Canis lupus familiaris: one gene and its partner. The main gene of each other region encodes a partner of the protein of the gene in region 2 in a complex. Links are inferred from orthologs where the notes say so. Each region holds a gene or a part of one and is shown on either strand. Other genes may lie near its edges.

Evidence for each region.
Region 1: the proteins of KCNJ4 (region 2) and TAX1BP3 are in contact, whole or in part, in a crystal structure (PDB 3GJ9), measured with the Homo sapiens proteins. The link is inferred for Canis lupus familiaris from reciprocal best matches to the Homo sapiens genes KCNJ4 and TAX1BP3. Residues at the interface, in NP_004972.1 of Homo sapiens: Arg440, Arg441, Glu442, Ser443, Ala444, Ile445; in NP_055419.1 of Homo sapiens: Leu27, Ile28, Leu29, Gly30, Phe31, Ser32, Ile33, Gly34, Gly35, Asp38, Gln39, Gln43, Asn44, Thr58, Arg59, His90, Asp91, Arg94, Leu97, Thr98.

The regions. Positions count from the first base shown.
Region 1 is NC_049230.1:47,457,973-47,469,050, forward strand, and holds TAX1BP3 (tax1-binding protein 3), read right to left. Parts: upstream 7,208-11,078; 5' UTR 7,063-7,207; coding exon 7,024-7,062; intron 4,127-7,023; coding exon 4,007-4,126; intron 3,625-4,006; coding exon 3,547-3,624; intron 3,246-3,546; coding exon 3,108-3,245; 3' UTR 2,264-3,107; downstream 1-2,263. Other genes in the region: CTNS (cystinosin), read left to right, coding at 1-27, 363-444; EMC6 (ER membrane protein complex subunit 6), read left to right, coding at 7,620-7,952. UniProt on the Homo sapiens protein: May regulate a number of protein-protein interactions by competing for PDZ domain binding sites. Binds CTNNB1 and may thereby act as an inhibitor of the Wnt signaling pathway. Competes with LIN7A for KCNJ4 binding, and thereby promotes KCNJ4 internalization.
Region 2 is NC_049231.1:27,318,328-27,329,413, reverse strand, and holds the start of KCNJ4 (inward rectifier potassium channel 4), read right to left. Parts: upstream 7,468-11,086; 5' UTR 7,254-7,467; intron 5,899-7,253; exon of another isoform or gene 5,842-5,898; intron 4,674-5,841; exon of another isoform or gene 4,491-4,673; intron 2,309-4,490; exon of another isoform or gene 2,160-2,308; intron 1-2,159. Other genes in the region: uncharacterized protein LOC119876745, read right to left, coding at 8,166-8,417. UniProt on the Homo sapiens protein: Inward rectifier potassium channels are characterized by a greater tendency to allow potassium to flow into the cell rather than out of it.

The DNA of each region.
Region 1 (11,078 bases), on a different chromosome or scaffold from region 2:
CTTCTGCTTATACAGAAAGAAACCAGGGTACGACCAACTGAACTAGTACCCAGGGACCCAGCATAAATGGTCCTGGGCCCTGTGCATGCCAGGAAGGCCAGGGCAGAGGCTGGAGTGCAGGGCTGGCTCAGTGTGCTGCCAGTGTTGAAGCATTGTATTCCTCGGGGCCAAACACCTTACACACAAACCAGCCTGCCTTCAGCCAGGACTTTCCCGGACCAGGCTGGGGAGGAGCCTCCCTCTGAGACAGATACCAGACTCTGAGATGGAAAACCACACCGCAGATGGCCCCTTCCCAGGCCTTGCCAGTCAGGCATCTGGCCCTCCTGCATCTTGATGCCACCGTCTTTATTTTCTTTAAGGCTTCAGGCAGCACAAACGGGTTCTGACAGCCATCCCAGGCAGGATTGGGTGCTGAGCTTGGAGCCGAAGGCCTTGACCTAAGCAGCCATTGTTTCTGGGAGCAGCTTGAAGGACTGACCCCGCAGGTGTGAGCCAAAGGCATTTCGCTGCCACTGCTATTCCCAGAGACCCAAGCAGCCAGGTGGTGTGGCCAGTGGACTCAGAGGTGTTGGTGCTAGAAAGGACAGGATTTGGGGGTTAGGCCCTTCCCCGAAGGCCACACTGAACACTCACCTTCCTGATGCTGTTTCTACATAATTCAACTCCCCCAACTGTAATCACAGGTGACCCAGGCTAAGGTCTGGTAAAGAAACTAGATTTCTAAGCCTTGAAGTGACCAACAGATTGGTTCTGAGCTAGGCTTGTGCCCAACCCCTCTGGATCCTTATCACACTAACCCCTTTTGGGTTTTTTGGAGGGATGTTCTGGAAGTGGGTGGCTTAGTGTCTCCACCTTCTGCCTACCTCTACTTTCCCAGAGTCAGGGACCCTATTTAATCCCCTTTGACTGCTCCTTATCTTGTGCTGGTGTGTAGGGTGTGTGGATGCGCATGTGCACACGTGCACACACACACACACACCAGTCTGCCTTAGAGGCCAGGAAGACCTGACAAATGGTGAGAGAAGCTCCCCTGTAGGGGAGGAGGGCTGGCCCCCTTCCTTCACTTACCCCAGATCCTACCTGAGAGCAACTTTTTGGCTGTTCAGGAGTCTCTCATAAGGACTTGAGACCACTCACACAATCCTCATGGGCCCAACCCTTATTCCAAACCTCCTTCCCTTCTATCCCAGGCTGTCCTTCCTGTGGCAGGAGGGGAGGGTGCCAGGATGTGCCTTGTCAGTTCACGTTCAGACCTTTTACTACAAGATTAATGTGAGGTGCCTATATCCTTAATTAAAATGATTTGTTTCCTTTCTGCACACTGAGCACTTGCCAGATGTGGGAGGTAGGTGTGTTGGCTTCAGAACCAATTCTTGGGGCTTAAGGAGACAACCCTACTTACTTCATGTAAGGAAACACTGGAGTTGCAAACTATGCTGATGGCGAGGTGGCTGCATGCCGACCGGCATTCATCAGGGGAGCCCTCTTGGGTAGTGCAAGATGCCTGCCTGCTCAGGGCCAGGTAGGTCACACAGGTACCATTACCAAGGGTATGTTGCTCAAGCTGGAGTTAAGGAGCATGGGTTGGATGGGTTAAGGGTGCTCTTATGGGCGGGGGGGTGGGGGGGGTGGGCATTTTATTTTTCAAATTATTCTTCTATCCAACTATCCAAGAATTTAGGATCTTGTTTCCCTAAAACAGTTTCCAGCCTGACCAACCCCACAGACGTATTTTATTTGGGCTACTCTGTATGTTACTGGGTACCACACTGTAAAAATAGGAGATTTCAGGTTTCTGATGGAAAATTTGAAAAACTCGATTTGGCAGTTACAGATAAGCCCTCAAATGGCAATCATTCCCAGAGCTGGTCGTGCAGCCAGTCCTGGGCCAAGCAGAGGCACTGGTGTTCTCCAGCTTACCCCCATCTCATCAATCCTACCTGTGATAAACTATGCTCTCAAGAGTCTTGGCGGGGGGTGGGGGTGTCCCATGAACCCCTTAGTGTCCATGAGTCCTCTCCCGGGTGGAGCACAAGCTAAGTTACACAGGGGAAGTCAAGAGTTCCCTGCCCCACTTCCAGGGAGGTGCTCCCAGACGTTCCCACAGATGTGGCTCTGGCCAAACAGCAACAGGCAGGCCTGGCAGCAGCTGGGCCTCATCTCAGAAGTGGTTGGGGGCCAGGCTCGTCAGCCCTACAACCAAAGCTCTAGCCACCATCCACCCCCAGACATCCCTAGCCCCATGCCTCAGCAAAACCCCTTGTGAATTCCAACACTGTTTATTTGGACCCAAGATGTCAGGTATGGGGTAATTTCACACTGCCCCATTTCCATAGGAACCAAAGTAACACATGTTGTTCCCAGATACAAGTTAGTAAGCTAAATTCAAAAGTAAGATTGGCATCTCCAAATAGGTAAAAATGCTTTTGTATCAAAGTTGTGATTTAAAAAATATAAAGTTAAACCCATAGGCATAGAAGGAAATGGCAATCCTGAGAACTGCCCTGAAATGTCAGCCTTGAGCTTCATCTAAATCTTGTACACAGGTGAACCCTGGGGAGGCTAGTGTCCCTCAGGGAAGTGGGGGTGTGAGGGGGTGAACCATAAGCCTGTCTGGCTTCCATTCAGGCAGTGTGTCAAGCCCCTCCTGGGGAAGGAAGGGAAAAACAGGGTACAAGTCGCTGCAGAGTTGAGACACAGAGGCATGGCCGAGCCCTGCAGCCAGGCCTCTGTAGGAAAGCCCGGCCCCACCTGGCATTCTCCAGCTTTGTGGGGGACCTCCTGCCCATTTGGGCACTGCTAAGGCCATGCAGCAGGGTCTGGGGGCCAAGCCTATGGTCGCTGCAGATTGACTACAATTCAACTCCAGGCCCTTATTTTAAATTCTCAGTGTCTGAGGATGAGAGCTGGTCCCAGAGCTTCAGGCCAGTGGGAGGTGGGGAAGGAAGGCTGGGTCAGGCCCCAGGGACAGGCCTCTGGGACCAGCTCTGGCCCTTTGGAGCTGGGGCCCAGCATGCAGCAGAAGCCAGGATGAGGGGCAGACAGAGCATGGAAGTGGTGTCACTGTAGGCAGGCAGGCACGAGGCAGGGACCACAGCGGGCTGCTAGGACAGCATGGACTGCTGCACTGCCTTCTGCAGCGACTGTCGGGTCACTAGCAGGCGCACCACCTCCTCCGAGCGCTTGGTGAGCCGCTTCCGGGCTTGGTCGTGTGTGACCATGGTCATGTCCCAGCCATTCACCTGGCCCAAGGAGAAAATACAGCCTGCCTCAGTTCTCTGTCCTCTGGGATCTGGAAGCAGGATGGGCTTTAGGGTCCTGGGTCACCCAGGCACGCTGATGTCTCTGTGCTGGGGATGCCAAGCACCACAGTTGAGGCATACAGAGGAGAGAGCCAGCTCCCTCTGGCAGCAACACCAGCATGCGCTCCCAACAGTTTCAGTGAGTCTCCCAGGTGCCCCAGGAGGCAAGGGCAGCCCCCAACCCGAGTGCTTCAGACCCTCTGGCCCAAGCCTTGATCTCCTCCTTTGGGACACATGTTACCTGCATAATCTTGTCTCCAATCTGCAGCCCAGCAATTTCAGCAGGGCCTCCTTCAGATACTCGTGTGACATAAATGCCCTGGAAAGAGACAGCCCAAGTCAAGCCCCAGTGTCACTGGACTAGCCCCTAATCCAGAGAGCAAAGCCCAGCCATCCAACTGACTGCACCAAGTCTGACCCTAGTACAGGCTGTGCCAAGACAGTCGAGGGGAAAGCAGCGATGCCCCACCATGCTCTGGTCCCTGCTGCTCGCCTCTTCCTGTTCCTCCTGGGCTCTGAGTGAGCCTTCCTAGGGCTGGGAGGTCTGCTCCCCACCCCCATCCCTACTTATCATTTCTTAAAAGGTCTTAGGATTTTTGAAAGACCAAGAGGTCTACTCCTTCCAAGAAGGCCCTGGAAGTACCCACCATCTCAGACCTTTGTCCCCAGTGGAGAGGTCCCAGGACCCTGGTCCCCCTCACCTTGTCTGTTTTATCTTCTGAGAAGGGATTCTGGGAGGGATCCTGGTCAATTCCACCTCCAATGCTGAAGCCCAGTATTAAGTTCTCACCTTGACGCAGCTTGTGAATTTCAACTCTTTGCTAGCAAAGGAAAAAACAAATTGGGGGCAGGTAAGTATGTGGACAATGAATCTGCTCTGTGTCCAGCAGCAGCCTCAGGCTGCTGTGCCAGCTCAGACCCATGCCAATGGGGGTGGAGCCCAGAGTCCTCTGTAGGATTCCACCCGGTTACCAGCCACCAGCCTGGGAGACTGGGGGCCTGGGAGACTGTGACTCAGAACTCAGCCACAACCACCTACGCAATATTCTGTTCTAGCCTCTGTCCCTTTCCTGTTAATCTCAGGCACCAGCCTTAGTCAACATGTACTCTAAGCCCCTCTTGATCCAAGAGTCAAGATGCTGTGACTGCTCTACATGGGGGGCCTGTGACCCAGGGGAGGGACCACACAGAGCAGAAGGGGACAAGGCTTGAAAAAGAAACGCCAGTGCCTTGCTGAGGCAACTCATTGCTGAGCCAGCCTTGTTGAGGGCAAGACTATAGAGATGCTCCGGAAAAGCAGAGAAGTTCAAACTTGCACATGAAGGAGAGGAAGGGCTTGTCCTGGCTAAGGGACAGAAGCACAGGCTTGAAGGTACTAAGGATACAGGTCTACAAGAGGAGTGTACAGCACTGGAACTGAGAGGTGAGGTGAGACTGGGGCCAGATCAGAAAGGCTGTGGAGTGCAGGCCCTAGAGGCTGGCCCTGAGGGAGGGGGTTTCTCTGTAAGCCCCAGACCCTGTTGTGTGGTGTAGGAGGCAGAGGAGGGTTCTAAAGCTCTCCCACCATAGTCCCCAAACTGCCAGGGCCCTTTCAAAGTTCTCAGCAGGCACCCTCCAATCACCAGAGTGTAGGGGCTAGCTAGACCAGATCACCCCACCCCAAAAGTTGAGTTTTAAAAGGAAGAAAGAAAAGAGTGCCTTGATCTGGACCTGAAGAGCTTCACAGAAGAGGGATCATTTGCACCAGACCTTGAAAGGAGTGACAGTTTAGACACCTGACTTTGATTCTGGGCCCACTAGAGTTCTCAGGAGTTCAGGAATAAGGTTGGTCCTGGTCAGATTTGATACTAGAATGACCACCTGGGCAGTCAGGAGGAGGAGAATGGATGTCTTCTAGAGGTGGGATGTGGAGGCCAGGGGACATGACTACTTGGAAAATAGATCAACAGACTTGAGGACTGCTCGTGGTAGAGAGCAGTGAAAGGAAGCACCCAGCCAAGTGGCCTGGCTGAACACAAACATCTCTCAGCTGGGGACACTGAAGGGGAAGCATTTTGGAGTGCCATGAGCTACCCAGGCAAGTGTCCAGACAGAAGGCAGATGAACCCATGGAGCCACAGCTCAGAGAAGAAGTCAAAATGGTTTTAACATTCTCAAAATATTAACTACGTGGGATAAGGCAGTGACTAGGAAGGAAACCTCCCCTAGCCCATTCTCAATCCAAAACACAAGCAGGATGTGCTTGCTTCGGCAGCACTTATACAAAACACAAGCGGGAGAGGCCAGACACGTTCCTAGTCTTAACAAGAATTGGGACAGCGTGGTCTTACAGTTTTGAAGAAGGTCCGGGGGAGGACCAGCCAGGACAGAAGAGAGGGGAAGCAGGAAGTATGACCCCTGAAGCCCACTAGACATAGGTCCTCAAGTCCAAAAGCGTGAACTCCTGCAGGCCTGCTCCACCTCCTCCAACACACACCTTTGCCCCACCCCGAGATTAGAAGAGAGTACAGGCCCTTGGGCTGGAAGACACGGGCGGGTCCCTGACTTACTGGGTGAGATGAGGCGGCTTACTGCCTCTTTCTTGCGCCTCCCCTACACACCCCTTTTCTTCCACCTAAGAAGCAAACCTGGCCGCTTCTCTCTGAGGCAGCTAGGAATCTAGAAAAGCGAGGTTGGTGCAGTTAGGGTGAAGTGTAGGGCAGCAATCTGCAGGTCCAGAAATGTTTCTTACTAGCCCCGGCCAGAGCTGGTTCTCTAAGCTCAAGTTCACATGCCAGCTTAATCAGTGCCGGCGCCTGACTCAGGAGTTCCCCTGCAGACCCAGCTGAGATAAGGCCGCCCGTCCCTCGGCCCTAGGACTGGGACTTGTACCTGACCCAATTCCTGCCAGACAGGCCTTTCTTCTCGGAGATCTGGGTTCTTCCTGGGGACTTTCTTTAGGGCTGGGCATCAACAGATTTCTCCTGGGACTCAGTTTCCCCATCTCCGCCTCCCGAGTTTGCCTTCAGACCCCACCCAGCTTTGGCACTGACGTCCCCGGCTCTCTCCTTCCCTTTGTTGGCTGCCCTAGCAGTTAGCACCCAAGACCAGCCGGTGGAGGGGAGCCAGGGGCCGAGGCTGGCCCAGCGCCGGGCGGGGAACCCGGACTTTGTCCCAAGGGGTGAGAAGCCAGGGAACGTCTGCAGCAGGAGCCCGCCAGCGGCGTGTGCCCTCACTGTGGAGCAGCGGGGCCGGGTCCGAGCGCGCCAGGCCGGCGGACAGTCGGGCCTGCCCCTCCGCCCCGGCCGCCTCCACCCCCAACTGTCCCTCGGGGCGGCGGCGGCGGCGGCGGCGGCGGCGTCTCCCGCAGCGGAGGAAGCACTTCCTCGTTCCCGGGGCAGCGCCTCCCGGCTGTCCCCGCCCCGCCCCGCGGCTGCCCGCTGGGAGCTCAGCCGGGAACGGGCGCTCTCCCCGCACCCCGCGGCTGAGGACCTTCTCCGCCGGCTGGACGGAGCCCAACGCAGCGGCGGCAGGGCGCGGGGCTGGCCTCGGGTCCAGGTGCCCGGCAGGCGCTGGGGTCCCGCCGTCCCTGGCGCCCGCCGGGGAAGACCGCGGTCCCGCGGGGCAGAGCCAGGGCCCGGGCCCGGCCGCCGCTTGGCAGCCGCCCGGGCTCAGCGCTTCGTCGGCCCGTGTGGGGCGTCAGTCCGCCGATCTGCACAACAGGGGCGAGCGCACTCACCACCACGGCGGTGACCGGCTGGCCCGGGATGTAGGACATCTCGACCCGCAACCGGAGGCCAGGCGCAGCTCAGGGACGCCCGCAGCCAGAGTCCCAGCGGCCGCGCCCTGCCGGCTTAACAAAGGCGCCCGGGCTCCGCCCGCCCCTCAGGAGTCGTTGACAAGCCCAGCCAGTCAGCGGCCGGAAGTCCCCGTGCGTGCGTAGGGGGCGGGGGCGCCCGCGGCGTGCGCGGCGGGGGCGGGAGCGCGGGTTCGGCGCGTGCGCAGCGAGAGCCCTCCCGGCACCCTCCAGCGCAAGATGGCGCCGGGCGGGTCTGTGCCGCTGGCCGTCTGAAGGAACGCCGCGTGTCTGTGTCTGTGTCCGCCGCCGTGTTGCAGGTAACTGGGCGAGCCGGGGCAGGCCGAACCGAGCCCTCAGCCCCCTCTGCGTCCTTGGAAGGCCCGAGATCCAGGAGTGGTGCGAGGCCTTGGGAGTCGGGGGCGGGGGGGGGGGGGGCGGGCGGCGTGCTCGCAAGTCGCCAGGCGCCGGAGGCCATTTGTCCCCGGGTTTCCTCCGCAGCTCCGCGGGAAAGTAGAGGCTGAGCCGCGGCGAGTGCGATGGCCGCTGTGGTGGCCAAGCGGGAAGGGCCGCCGTTCATCAGCGAGGCAGCTGTGCGGGGCAACGCCGCCGTCCTCGATTACTGCCGCACCTCGGTGTCCGCGCTGTCGGGGGCCACGGCCGGCATCCTCGGCCTCACCGGCCTTTACGGCTTCATCTTCTACCTGCTCGCCTCCGTCCTGCTCTCCCTGCTCCTGATCCTCAAGGCGGGAAGGCGGTGGAACAAGTACTTTAAGTCACGCAGACCTCTCTTCACCGGCGGCCTGGTCGGCGGCCTCTTCACCTACGTCCTGTTCTGGACGTTCCTCTACGGCATGGTGCACGTCTACTGAACCAGACTGGGAGGACTGCGTCAGAGATTAACACCGTGTAGACTTAGTTTTTAAATTGTTGAATTCGCTGCTTGTTCTGTAACCTGATAATTTATATCTGAAGACGAAGAGCCTGTACCATTCTTCAGATTAAATGAAGCGTGAGACACTTCGTGGAGTCTTTTCCTACCTTAACTCATAGCCCATGTCTGCCGTGGGTGCAGAATCGCCAGGGTTTGGCTCCTAGAGAGCTGGGTCTGGGTCTCAGCCTTCTGTAATTTCCTTGCATTTATACATAGGCCATCCAGAGAGACTACTAGGGCCTAAGTAAAGAGGGACTTACTGTTAGCAGCGTTTCCCACATGCCAAAACATGGTGCCTTGTACCCTGTACACCCGTTGTCTCATTTCATTCTAGCAATATCCTTGTGGGGTAGATAGAATTAGTATCCCTCGTTGATGATTCTGAGGCTCAGGTTACACGGACCTCTGCCACAGAGAGGCACAGCTAGAAAGAGGCAGCCAAGTTCCAGATACAGGTCTTTTAATTGCTCTTGCTGCACTGGCTGAGTGTACCGTTTTTCAGACCCCAGACGTCCCTCTCTGTACCCACTGCTTTCAGGCATGAGTCGTGCCATTTCAGTTCCATTTCATCTAGCAACAGCTAGCTGTCATTTCCTTTTTAAACAACTTCAAGCTCTTTTCTAGAATATGTCTAATGGAGATTAAATAGACGACATTTAAGCTAAAGTTTGGGCTTGTTTAGAATGTAATGCTTTTGTCTGTGTGCTAACCCATGATCCCTTCTTGTCAAGGGGGTATCTTAGAATAAAGTGCATACCTTTGAAAGATAACATATTGCATTAGAGTTATAGTAGTGAACGTGTTGCTCATGGAATTTATAGTCTAACTGGGAGGACCGGTATTCCCTAATTTCACAAATATTTAAATTTTGATAAGTGCTGTGAAGTGAGAACAGAGGAGCCCTAAACTGAGCCCAGGTTGGGGAGTAGGGATCAGTAAAGTCTTTGAGGGGCGCCTGAGTGGCTCAGTCAGTTGAGCATCTGACTTTTGATTTCAGCTCAGGTGGTAATCTCAGGCTCTCAGGATGGAGCCCTGCCTCGGCCTAAGAGCTCAGCAGGCTACCCCCCTCCTCAGTGTGTGCTTGCTTGCTCTCTCAAAATAAATAAATCTTTTTTTAAAAATCCTTTGAGATTACATTTGAGACCTCAGAGTTGAATAACAAGTATGAAGAAGAAGCTACATTCAAGAAAGCACAAGTGTTGGGCAGCCACGGTGGCGCAGCGGTTTAGCGCTGCCTGCAGCCCAGGGTGTGATCCTGGAGACCTGGGATCGAGTCCCAAATCAGGCTCCCTGCATGGAGCCTGCTTCTCCCTCTGCCTGTGTCTCTGCCCCTCTCTCGCTCTGTCACTCATGAATAAATAAATGAAATTTTAAAAAAACACACACACACACACACAAGTGTGAGGACCACTGGGCAGCAGGAAGGGGTTTGGCCTGTACCTGGAGAGTTAGAGAAGAGGCCAGGACCAGGACTTGGATCAGTCATGGAAGGCTACAGTGGGGATGTTGGCCTTGATCCTAAGAGCGATTGGGAGAAGCCTTTGGAAGTTTTAGCCAGGAGTGATGGGATCACAATTGGATTTTTCTTAAAAAGAATCCATTTCAGATCAGAAGATCTGAGAACTTGAATCCAAATCCCCTTTTACAGACAGTACATGGCCCATGGTCAATAACAGAGATAGATCTGGGACCCAAGCATGCACTCAAAGGGAAGAAGCAGGTGAGGCCACAGCTTTGCCTCCTTCACTCACCCAGTGACCTCTGAACCCTCTTCAGACCACTGCTGAAGAGGCTCACAGGTATGGTTTGCACACTATGCCCTTCTCAACCTCCCTGTCCTGAGGGCTTTCCCTAAGTGAAATGGGAAGGTTTGTGATGTGGAATAAAGAGCAGTCCTACTGGATCGGGGGTTGGGGGTGCAGAATAAGTGAGCTGATTTACTTAAAGATTGAAATATTCACTATTATAAAAAATATTGCAGAGAATGTCTTGATATCATTTTGAGGGAACTTAATAAACTCCTAAAGCAGAAGATAACTTGATTCCAAATGATTTCCAGAGTTTTATCAGATTACCCTCATTGAGTGGAAATGTACCAGTTCTATTGTGTCTTCCCAGTCTTTAATATTTGCTCATTTAAAGAGTTTCCTTACTTCCATTTGAATTTCTTTGTAATACAATAGGGAACATAATTTATTGTTCACTGATGGTTTCTGTGTCCGCCTCTTTTGTTCTCACTTTCTCCTTACATTTTCCTCTGAGACAGAGTGACTGAAAAGATAGGAAGGGGGGGAAAATCTAGTTTTCAAGGGATGCCTGGATGGCTCAGCTGTTGAGCATCTGCCTTCAGCTCAGCATGATCCCAGAGTCCCCAAATCGAGTCCCACCATAAGTAGGCTCTGCTTCTCCCTCTGCCGGTCTCTGCCTCTCTGTGTCTCTCATGAAGTAAATAAGTAAAATCTTTAAAAAAAAATAGTTTTCAAGTTAAAACCTTTTATTGTTTTATAGCCAAATAAAAATATTAATACATTTATAAGGCAGGTCCCAGACAATGGTTGCCGTCTTTCCTCCTTTTGAGTCTGTGCACTTCGGCTTAAGGGGAAACAAATAGCTGGGAGAAAGGTGTGCCTTTTGAAGAGTCCCTGGAGAGAATGCTCTTGAGGGGAGCTGCATCATCTGGGTGGAGGAGGGTGGGCTGCAATCAAGTGGAGCCCTTTTTCAGACATGCAAGATGCCATTCCAAGTGGGGTGACTTAGGGACTCTGCAGGACACTGTTGTCCTTAGCTGGGGTACTCAGACACCTGGAGGAAATCCTGTTCCCCCTTTACAGCACTGAGAAAGGAAGAACTGATGAGGCGTTGGGGCACAAAGGCAGCCGTGACTAGTTAGTCCCGGTGACCCCTACAACAGGGGTAGAGGGCACTTAGCTCTTTCATGGCTGGTCCACTTGATAGCACTCAGTTTACAAATCCCATTGGCCAGCATCATGGCACTCCCAAGGCATGGAATTAATCATTAGGAACATACCAGGTAGGTGGCATTAGGCCAGGGTCTGTGCAAACC
Region 2 (11,086 bases):
CTCCCGCCCCAGGACTGCCAGTCCTGCCCCCCCAACACACCGCTCCAGCTCCGTTTCCCACCGCCACTAGTCTCTTGGTTACCATGTTGCTGGTTGTCATGTTGCTTACATGTCCTCGTGACTCAGTGGTCCCCGCAGAGGGGCCCCCTCCTCCTCACACCCCCCTCAGCACTCGCCCCCGCCTCCCCCAGATCCACATTAAGAACCAACCCGCCCTATAAGCCTACACTGTTCCTCCTCCCCTTCCCTCTTATCCTAAGCTAAGAAATCTTTCCACAGCATCTCCTAGAGCCACTTCATTCTGTTTTCTGCAAATGTCTAAGAACCTACTACGCTCCAGGCTTTTGCAAGCTGCTTTCAGAGACGTGACATAGTCTGTAAATCACTTGGCAACCCAGTGAAGTCAGTACCGACATCCCCATTCTCCAGTCGAAGACACTGAGGTCCAGAGAGGTCAAGCCAGCAGCCCAAGGTCACCCAGCAGATACTCAAGGCCAGCTCTGACTGTTCCCACTCACTCCAGAGGCTTTTTTCTGGGAGAGGAGCTTCCTTTTCAAGGGTAACCAAAGGTTCCCGAGGAATTGCTCTCAACTCCAGATCCCCCTCTAATTCCTGGACCCCTCCTTGGTCAATCCTCTATTTGAGGCCACATCCTCTCTCCCCATTAGCTGTGCACCTTCCCAAAGGTAAAATGAGTCCTTACTGCCATCTGCCCAGCACCGTCCCCAGCCTGTGAACAGCCCCCAGCTCATTTGAGCCCTTGGAGGTCAGTGGGGCAGAGAGCTGTGTCCTCATTCCACAGATATGGAAGTTGAGGGTCATGGAGGAGGGTAACTTGCTCCGGATGCTGGCCCCTCAGCTGGTGAACTGATTTCCAGGAGCCTGAATATAGGGTATGCGAAGCCCACTTCTCAGTGTGGAAAGCCCCAGAAAGAGCCCTCCTCCCTGTGGAGAACAGTCGAATGTTCTAGGCTCAGCCCTCCCGGCTCCAACTTGGATACGGGTCAGCTCAATGGCCAACAGCCTTTGCTCCTGCCATGTTGCAACCCAGACCTTATCCCACTGCTCTCCTCTGTCTTTTGTTCCTCTCCTCCCAGGCCAAGGCAGGGCCACATCGTGGCTCTCAGGGCCCAAAAAGTCCTGACAACAGCTCCCCAAACTCCGGAAGCCCTGGAGGTCACAGGACTGGATGTGGGGAGAAGCAGAACAGGCATTTTACATACACACATACACACACACACACACACATGCACACAGGTCTGGCTCCTCCCTGGGTCTCACAAGCGTGGCCCTGGGACCTCCATTCCTCAGCTCCTCCATTCCCTCAACCTGCTGCTCAGCATCCTGCTGGTCTTGAGGCCCTGGCTTGCCAACTTAGCCAGGCTGCCCTGCCTCTCCACCACACTCCCACCTACCATCTCCCTGCATTCTCTCCCCATCTTAGAGCCTCGGCTGGAGGCAGAAGTGTGATGTTGATGCTGGTTGGGGAGCCAGAGAAGTTTCCCTGCTCAGGGGCTCATTCAGACCTCTCTTCCCTTGGGGTTCTCCTGTAGGGAGAGAAGAGCAGTCTGTGCCTCTCTCCACTATGAATATGAAATACCTTCTTTGCTGGATCCCTGTCCACCCTCCTTGGGGGTCACCTGGCCCAAAGTAGGTGCTCAAACATGAGAAGTGGGATGTTATTTTCCGTGAGATCAGAGGGCTATTTGCAAACAGGTTGCAGCTGGGGAAGTGGAAAGGGGACCCCTACACACACACACACACACACACACACACACACACACACACGCGTTTGCCAGGAGTCACCTGCCTTGAAGCTCCTCAGAACAGGCTGACAACTGGGGGTGGGTGGAGGCAGGGAAAGGTCGAGGCTGGGGCAGGAGGTCAAGGCCTCTTCCACCCACCCCTCTCCACCTTTCTGGCCACAACCCAGACCTTCACGCTCCCGAAGGGACCGACGGACAGAGCGACAGCGCTTGCCAGCTCCCTGGGAGTCACTGGACCGCGCTGAACGCGGGCCCCGCAGCCGAGACCCGCAGGGATAAGGTGCTGGGCGGGCGGGGCCCACGGCCCCCCCCACCCGGGACGGGACAGACAGACACGCACGCGGCTGGACAGACAGACGGTCAGCGCCGGCGGTGGGCGTGCGCCCGGCTTACCGCGGGGCGGAGGGTCCGACGAAGGTCCAGAAGGCGGCGAGCGGGCTCTACATCCCACGGCGCGGGCGGGCGGGCGGCGTCCCGGGCGGGGAGAGGGGAGTCCCGGCGCCCCCTCCCCGCGCACTCGGCCGGCCGGCCCCGCCCCCCTCCCCGGCTGCCGGTGGGTCTGTCCGTCGGTGTCCGGGTCTCCGCGCCTCGGGGCCGTCCCGCGCCGCTCCCCGCGGGCCGCTCAACTTTCAGCGCTGCCCCGCGCCGCGCCCCCGGCGCCGCCTGGGCGTCAGCATCGTCGGGCCGGGCCCGGCTCAGGGCGCGGAGATCCGGGGGCCCATGGCCTCGGCCGCCCGCGCTCGCGCCCCCCGCCCCCGCCGCAGCCGCCGGCCCTCCGCCGCCCCCCCGCTGCCGTCGCGCTGTCTCTCCGCGCCGCTCCCCGCCCCGCGCTCCGCTCCCCGCCCCGCGCTCCGCTCCCCGCTCCCCGCTCCCCGCCCCGGCCCCGGGAAGCCCTCGGCCGGCCGGCCGGCCCGGGACCCGCCGCCGCCCGCCGGGCTGCCCCCGGGGTCTCCGTGCGTCTGTCCGTCCGCCCCTCGGTCCCCGAGCCCGCCTCCCGTGTCTCCCGGCGGGGGCTCGGTCTGCTGCCCGCCGCCCTCCCAGAGCCTCCCCTGCCTCCCTCCGCCTCTGCCCTGTCTCGGTCTCCCCTGCGCGTCTCTCTCTGTCCTCCTCCCGGGCGCCGTCTGTCCTTCTGCGTGTCTCTCCCTCCCTCCCACTCTCGGTGCGGCCCCCGCTGTCTCGGACCCAGGCCCGCGCCTCCGCCGCGTCCCCGGCTCGCCCGGGAGCCCGAGCTCCCGCCGCCCGCGGCGCGCCGAGAACTCCCAACTCGCGGCACGCCGCCCCGCTTTGCGAGACTTTCGCCCCTCCTCACACGTGACCCGCGCCCCAGTGCGGAGGCCGCGCGCCCCCCCCCCGGCCCCCGAGCCCCGGGCCCCGGGCGGCCCGCGGGGCCCGGCCCGGCTCCTTCCCCGCGGCGCAGCGGGGCTTCAAACCCCCTGGGCCCGCCGGGCGCGCGGGGCAGGGCTGGGGGCCGAGGGGCCGTGGGGCCCCGCTCCTGCCGCGGATCCTGCCCGGGTTTTCCTCCTCCCTCCGGGAGCGCTCCTCCCAGAACCCATTCCGAGAATCCGCTCCGGGTTTTGCAACCCCCGGGGGCAGGTCGGTAGGGTTCCTCCGGGCCGGGAAGGGGGTGCGTGGGAGAGGGTCTGTACTGGGTTCGGAGGCTCCGGGCCACTTTGCTCCGCGGTCCCCTTCCCCTCCTGCAGTACCGGCACTTAATGACCCCACGTACTGTGCTCCGGGAGCCGGGGGCTGGCGTGCATGGCTGCAGGGGACCCTCACAGTCACCTAGACAGCACCGCCTCATTTTACAGACTGAGAGACTGAGTGCCAGAGAGGGTCGTGAGCTTGTCCAAGGTCACCCGGAGGTGGCGGAGCTGGACCAAACCCCAGACTCTTACTCTCTGCAGCCGCATTACTCCAGACTGTCTTTACAGGGGAGGATCCCGGTCTGAGTGAGCTCCAGGTCTGGGCTGCGCGCTCTGGGCTGTGGGGAGCTGACTCCACCACCTCAGAGCCCCCCAAGGACAGCGAGCCGCCTCCCTGGCCACCCTGCCACCTCACCCCGACTCTCTGAGGAGGGAAAGTGCTCCTTCACTAGGATGGAGGATGAGAAAACACCTATAGCTAGACAGCCAGAAGAACTTCCCTGGTATCCTGCCCATCTGTGGCTAGTCTCAGGAGAGACTAAGGCACCCCAAAGCCGGATTGAGAATTTTTTGAGGATGAAACCTCCAGCTTTTTCTCCCAGTGGGTCCCCAAGCATGTGTCCAGCACATTAACCACCATGACTGTCTCCCTTCCCCGTGGATCCTCCCCACCTCCAGTTGGGATCCAGTCCCAACTCCTCAGCATGATGTACAGTCAGGCCCCACCTCATCCAGCACCCTATATACCCACACATACACCCTGATTCCCACAGATTCCAGAACATACCAGATGCTTCTGCACCTCTCTGCCTTTGCCGGTGCTGTTCTTCCTGCCTGAAGTGCCCTTCCTCCTCCTCTGCCCAGAGAATTCCTAGTGCTCTCTCAGCCCCTGGGGTGGCCTCCTGATGCCCCCAGCAGAAGTCATTCATTACCCACTCATTCATTCATCTGGCCCTCATACTCCAAGTTCTTATCCAACCTGTTTGCAAAATGGGGTCCTTAACAGTCCCTCCCCATCACAGGGACGGATTAGGAGAGATAGATGCACAAGAAATGCACAGCCCACAGTAGGCAGTCAATAACATGACCATCCTTTCTCCCTTCAACCGCGCGCGGGGAGCCCCATAGCAGATGACCCATTCCGTGCCCGTCTCCCTCATTAACTCTGCGGTGTCCTCACAGGCAGGCAGCCAGGACTGTGTTCCTTCACATGAATCTTTGATGCGCATGAACTTAGGCAATCTGAATCCTCGGTCAGTGGCAGGTAAGTGCCTGGTCACTGTCACAACTTTCCGTGGAAATTGGGAGGGTGCAGGAGAAGCAAATGACCCGTGGTCTCTTCACCTAGCCAGAGGTCTGCCTGCTGGCTGCCCTGGAAATGTGGGGTGCAGGGCAAGGAGGGAGGGGCAAAGGGGGCGGGGAATGGAGACTGAGGGGTCTGTAGACCTAGAGCCTCTGCTCCTGTGGGGTCAGTCCTGATGCTGGGTCACTGGGCACAAGTTCAAGGGAAAGGTAGGAGCTCAGGGACAGAGACTTCTGGAAGATGGAAGGGGGAAGCCTGGTGGCTGTGACATCATAAGCCTGAGAGGAAACATTTGGTAATGGTCCCCTCCTCCTGGGGCTGTAGCCTGGGATCCTCCTGCAAGGAGGGTCTGGTGGAGGCTGGGAGTGACTGGGAGGAGGTGGGAAGAGGCAGAAAAGGCAGCTCCAGCCAGAGAGAGGTTCAGGGACCCCAGGAAAAAGAGTCCCTTCACCTCCCCCCCCACCCCGCTCTGCCCCAAGCCTGATGTGACTCTGGACAGCTCACTTGTCTCCGTGCCTCAGTGTCCTCATCTGTATGACAGCCTATTGTGTCATAGGATAATAGCCCCACAGTTGAGATGATGGGAGCTTAGGGGCGGAATTCCCTATTGTCCAGCCCATATTTGAGAAGGGCAGGGGTGGGGAGGTGGAGGCAAGGAGGGATGTGAGACAGGTGTGCAGGGGCTCACAGGGGCAGCGGGTAGAGGCTTGGCTGTCAGAACCTGGGCGACCCTGGGCAAGTTGCTTATCCTCTCTGGACCTCAGGAGCCTCATCTGTAATGGGACAGTCTGGACTGGGTCCCCAAAAGGCAAGTAGGCTTTGTGGTCATCCAACACCAAAGCGCCCCCTGGGAAGAGTGAAGGGAGCAGACGCCCCTGGGGGTGATACCATTAGCCCAGCACTATTCTAGGCTTGCACAGGCATTGTCTCATTTAATCCTTACCAGAACTCTATGATGCAGGCGCTTGTTACCCATGGGGAAACTGAGGCATGGGCCATGTTGGTACATGGCCAGGGACAACTCTGTGGAAGGGCAAGACTTGCTCTGAAGTTTGATAGGTAGTGATGGTAAAACGTTCATCCAACTGAACATTTTGCCAAAGCTTCTTGGCCCATTTTCCATTTTCAGAGATGATCCTCCCAGTGTCTTCATGAGGGAGCCTCTAGGACTATCCCTCATTCACAGGTGAGGAAACCGACCTGAGACACAGAGAGAGGAAGTGCCTTGCCCATGGTCACTCAGGGAGTAAGCAAATGTCTCAGCCACATTTGGAATCCATTCCTAGTTTCTGGGGAGAGGTCGTTTGAGGCCAGCAGAGCACTCGTGAACTGGCTCACTCTAGGAGACCAGTCAGGCCTCCCTGGTCCCATAGAGGCCTTGAGAGCAGGCACAGAAGGCCTGGAGGACTGCAGGTGGGAGGGCCTGAGCCAAGCTGGGAGAGGAGTGGGGGAGGTGGGCCACCAGGGGCCACTTCCAGATGCCAGAGTCACAGAGTCCAGGGGTTTGGGACTTAGAGAGTTCCTGAAAGTCTGGCCAGCCCATTCTACAGATGGGGCAAACAGAGGGAGCCCAGCTGCTTAGATTAGGAATCAGACCAGGACACAGCTGGCCAGCCTCAGAACTCTGAAGTCCCAGCAGCCCTGAGGGGTGAGGATGGATGGTGGGGAAAGGGGTAATGGGAGCCCACAGGGCCAAGACCCATCCCAGCGGCTATGCCCTGGGAATGGAGGATTGCAGGGGTCTCTCCCGCCCTCCACTCCCCCCCTCGCCCACCCCCCAGCACTCAGTAGTCACCAGGGTGGAATATTTTAGCACCTATAGAAAAACCGCCACAGACGGCCGTGGCAGCTGTTGCTAAGGAGACGCTCCCAAAATAGCCCCCCTCCGCCAACCTTTCCCGCTGCTGCTCCTGCTGTGGGGAGGGGAGGAGGCCAGAAGGGGAGGGGGTGGCATGTGAGCCCTGGACCCAGGTTCACCCATCCGCCCTTGCTCCTGCTGCCCACATGCCCCAAGATGGGGCAAGCCAATGACCAGAGCAGCCACAGGTCTGCAGAGGGGGCAAGAGCTAGCCTGGGCACAGTCCTCAGCTGGAGGAAGGTCACCCAGATGAGGGGAGATGGGGGGGAAGAGAGCCCCCCCCACCCGAAACCCTCAGCACACTCCTACACATGCACGATTACAGACCTCACAGTTTTACACATCCACTTGTGCACACCACAAGTACAGACCCACAAATGCCCTCCTTGATATGCATATTCACCACCACAGACACAAATAGATGCACGGGTAAATACATATGCCTCAAATACACAACACACACCTGCAAGCACATACCACGCAGCCATAAATACACACATTTACACACACATACTCAAATATGAATCGCAAGCACACACAAATACCAATGTATGCATGCACGCCTGGCACATGTACCCCCACACACGCACCGCAATGTAAATACGGTCTCACAGCACACGAACACACAACTGTAACAACACATGCCCAGCATGTGGCATTCAAAGAGCATTAAGTGGTGTTACCATCGGGTTCTGTGCAGGAGCCACGTCCTGGGCTCTCCAGACATCCTCACTTAGTGGGGGCACTTCTGCGATCCAGCTACAGGGTAGCAGACTAGGAGGCGGTGTCCAGGAGGGTGGTGGAGGCTGCCGTCTCTGTGAATCCCTCCGGTAGGTGGTCTGGGGACCAAAGGATCCCTGGTGCCTGGGAGAGCTACGCTGGGTCCATTGCTTGGGAAAGGGGATGTTCCGGGAAGGAAATCTCACCCTAGAGACTGCAAACCCATGGGCATGGGGGGAGTTGGGAGCCCCATGTTCACTGGGCACCTGGTTGTCACCAAGCCTGCAGCTGAGGCCAGAATGATGATGAGGACAAGAAGACAATAGAGTGGCAGCAGTGATGGTCCTTAACAGGTGCACAACACTTTACAGTTTATAAGCCACTTTTACACCCGTTATTTCACACACTTGGTAACAGCTGCCCTGAGATATCGGTGGTGCTGTCCCATCTCTGCGGCAAAGGCAGGAGAACGGACTTGAAGACCGCACAGCGGCTTACTGGCAGAGCTGGTACCAGAGCCCAAGGAGGTGCCAGCACCCAGCTCTATGCACCCTTCACTCGGCTGGACCGCACAAGCTAGAAAGCAGGCCACCAGGGTGCAGGGCTTGCCTTTGCCCCTGATTCGCTCGCTCTGTGATATTGGGGAGCAGCCAAGCGGTCCACCTCCCCACCTGGAAAACCGAGAGTGAACCCCAGGGGTGTATTCATCCTGCAGTTGGCGGGCACCGGGCTAGGGGGTGGTGCCAGATGCCCCCCCCCCCCCCGAGAATGCCAGCGCAAGGACGAAGGGCACCCGTCGCTCCCCTCTGCCCTCGGCCAGCCACCGTCTCTCTCCAGCCACCTCTCCCCAACCGCCCCCCCCACCTCCCGCGCACCGTTGGTTCCGTGGCTCCGGTTCGGCGATCCGGGCTCCGGGTCTTCGCTGACGCCTCGTCACTCGGGAGACGCGGAGAGCGGCTTGCGGTTGCCGTGGGAACCCCGCGGCGGCCCCGGAGCGGCGCACGACTCGGAGCCCGGGGGCCGGGCCTGCCCCGCGAGCGCCGAGGGGTCTTTGGCGTCTCAGACAGACACCTGTCGCCAGCGGCGAAGGGAGGCGGCGTCGCAAGGTTTGTTATGCTTTTCTTTTTCTTTTAATTGAGGTGTGACTTACAAACTGTAATACATCTTAAGAGCACAGCTCGATGGATTTTTACATATGCAAAAAACCCGTGTAATCACCACTGGGATCAAGATACAGAACACTTCTAACGCCCCAGAAGGCTTCCTCGGGCCCCGAGGTTATTTTTAATTGTCTTTTTTGCACTTCTGGAATAAACCGGCGAGGGAGTGATCGGCTTCTGAGAACACAGAATGTGTTTTCTCCTGGCTCTGCTTTGCGGATCCTCTTTGGGCCTGGGTGTCCCATAAAGGGGAGCAGGGGACTGGCATTTGTTGAGTGGTTTACTCCTTGCAAAGCGCTTTAGGTACCTAGCTAACTTTGACTCCTATCAAGTCAGTATTTGGTTTATACCCAGGTTACCCATGGGAAAGATGAAAGTTTGCCCAAATTCCTACAGCCCATCAGTAAGTGGTGACACTTGAGACTTGAACAAACATCTGTCTAGCCTTGGCATTCATTCTTCCTCCCCTTTTCCTGCTTATTGGCCTCTTATTTTTTATTTTTTAATGATTTTATTTGTTTGACAGAGACAATGAAAGAGCACAAGCAGGGGGAGCAGTAGGCAGAGGGAGAGGGAGGAGCAGGCTCCCCACTGAGCAGGGAGCGCAATTTGGGGCTCGATCCCAGGACCCTGGGACCATGACCTGAGCCAAAGGTTCAGACACTTAACCGACTGAGCCACCCAGGCACCCCTATTGGTCTCTTTTTAAAGAGCTGCACAAATAAAATGTGCTGGGAGAGGGGGTCATATCATATTTCTGTGCCTTGACACATGTAGTTGCTTCTACTTGGGACTCCTAGCCTCTTCTCCCAGATTTTGTCTTTCAGGCAAGCTCCTACTCATCCTGCAAAACCCACTGGGGCATCACTGAAGCCTTCTTAACAGGAATCCTCCTCTTAACTCCCCGCCAACCCAGGGTAATTACTCTCCATCTGTGCCATATTTAACCCATGTACAGACATGCCCCCCACAGTGCCCCAAGGGCTCAGTGAGGCTGCCTCTATGTTCAACCTGTAAGGCACCAGCACACAGCTGGTCTTCAGCAAATGGGCTTGGAACCGAAAGTGGAGGAGTGGTTTTGGAATGTTGGTTTCCTGCTGTGCAAAAATTGGACTGCACTTGCTATGCTGCGTGTCACAAAAGATATTGGGGAGGGTGATGCTTCTGGAACACCTGAGGCAGAACCACAGGAAGAGAAAGCCTGCCCTCAGCCTAGGTTAGGGAATGGACTTGACCTTGCCTTCGGAGTGGACCTCAGGGTGCCCAGGGAAGAGTTCTTTCCTTCCACGGGCCAGAATGCCAAAGGATGTCATAGCGGCCCCTAGTGACCTGTGGGGAGTCCCAGGAGCTGGGGCCCATAGCTCCCCATTCTTTCCAGGGCCCTGCCCAGTGAAAGGCAGCCAATTCAGTGGTGGAGTATCTTCAGGATAGTGGTTTTTCACTTTACATCCACACATTCCTTCCACACAGCATTTGAGGCAATTGGCAGGATCTTCAATAGGGTGGTGAAGTGTAATAAAGAGCTAGGACCAGGAAGGAAAAGAGATTATTATACACATTTTTTTTCTATCATCGAGTTACTCCCCCATTCTCCCTCCTTTGACTTTGAATATACAATTTGCTTTGTGAGTGAGGGAAAAAGAACCCTTGCCCTTGGCTTCCCCCCAGCTGCAAGCCTACAGCAGACACATTTTGGGTGTCAGGAAAGTGAGGCTTACAAGACTGGGATGTGCCCAGAACCACGCATCATAGTGTCTGATGTTGCAGGTGGCCAAAGTGCTGGCTTTGCGGTCAGCGTGGAGCCTACCTGAGAGTCTCTCTCCATCTCTCTCTGCCCCTCCCCCTGCTTGTGTGCTCTCTCTCTCTTTAAAATAAATAATTAATTTTTTAAAAAATGTGGGTGATGAGCTCCCTGTCTTGGGACATAGGGAGTATCAGTTCCCTGGGGAGACTGGAAAGACTAGATGTGAGGAGAACCAAATCACCAGTCACAATGCTTTTCCCTACATTATCCCCATTAACAGATGGGAAAGGTGAGGCCAAAGGAGAGGACATGGCAGGCTCAAGGGCACTGTGGCAGGTCCAGGACAAGATCTCAGTCCTAAGGCCACCCAACCTGGGTTCTCTCCCTTCCACCTCCGTGGTTCTCAGACCTTCCCTGGCCGTGTTCAGTTCCCCTGGTTGGGGTGGGGTGGGGGAATGGCTGGAGAAAGAGAGGGAAGAGAATTCTAGCCTTGTTCCAGCCCCCGCTGGCAGTTGGGGCTGCTTCTCAGGAGGACAGATGTTTCACCAAATGGCAAATGCACGTGCTTTTCCCTGGCTTGGGGAGAAGGTGGGCGCTGAGAAGGAGATGCCAGCTGGTAGGGCCCAGAACCGTAGCCACACCTGAGGGGTTTAAATAGCCACCGCCTTCTCTAGGAGATGCTGGAAGAGAGGCATCTGGGCAGGACTGGAGTGGGAACAGAGCAGCCCATTCAGAACCTGTCACAGCCCTGAGATGAGTGCCTGGCTCCTCCTCCCAGAAAGACTTGGCCCATGCATCTCACCTCCCTGGACCTCAGAGCTGTCACCTGAAAAGTGAGGACTTAAAGCTGACTTTGGAGGGTGCCTGTTGAGGCTGAACGGAGAGAACTAAC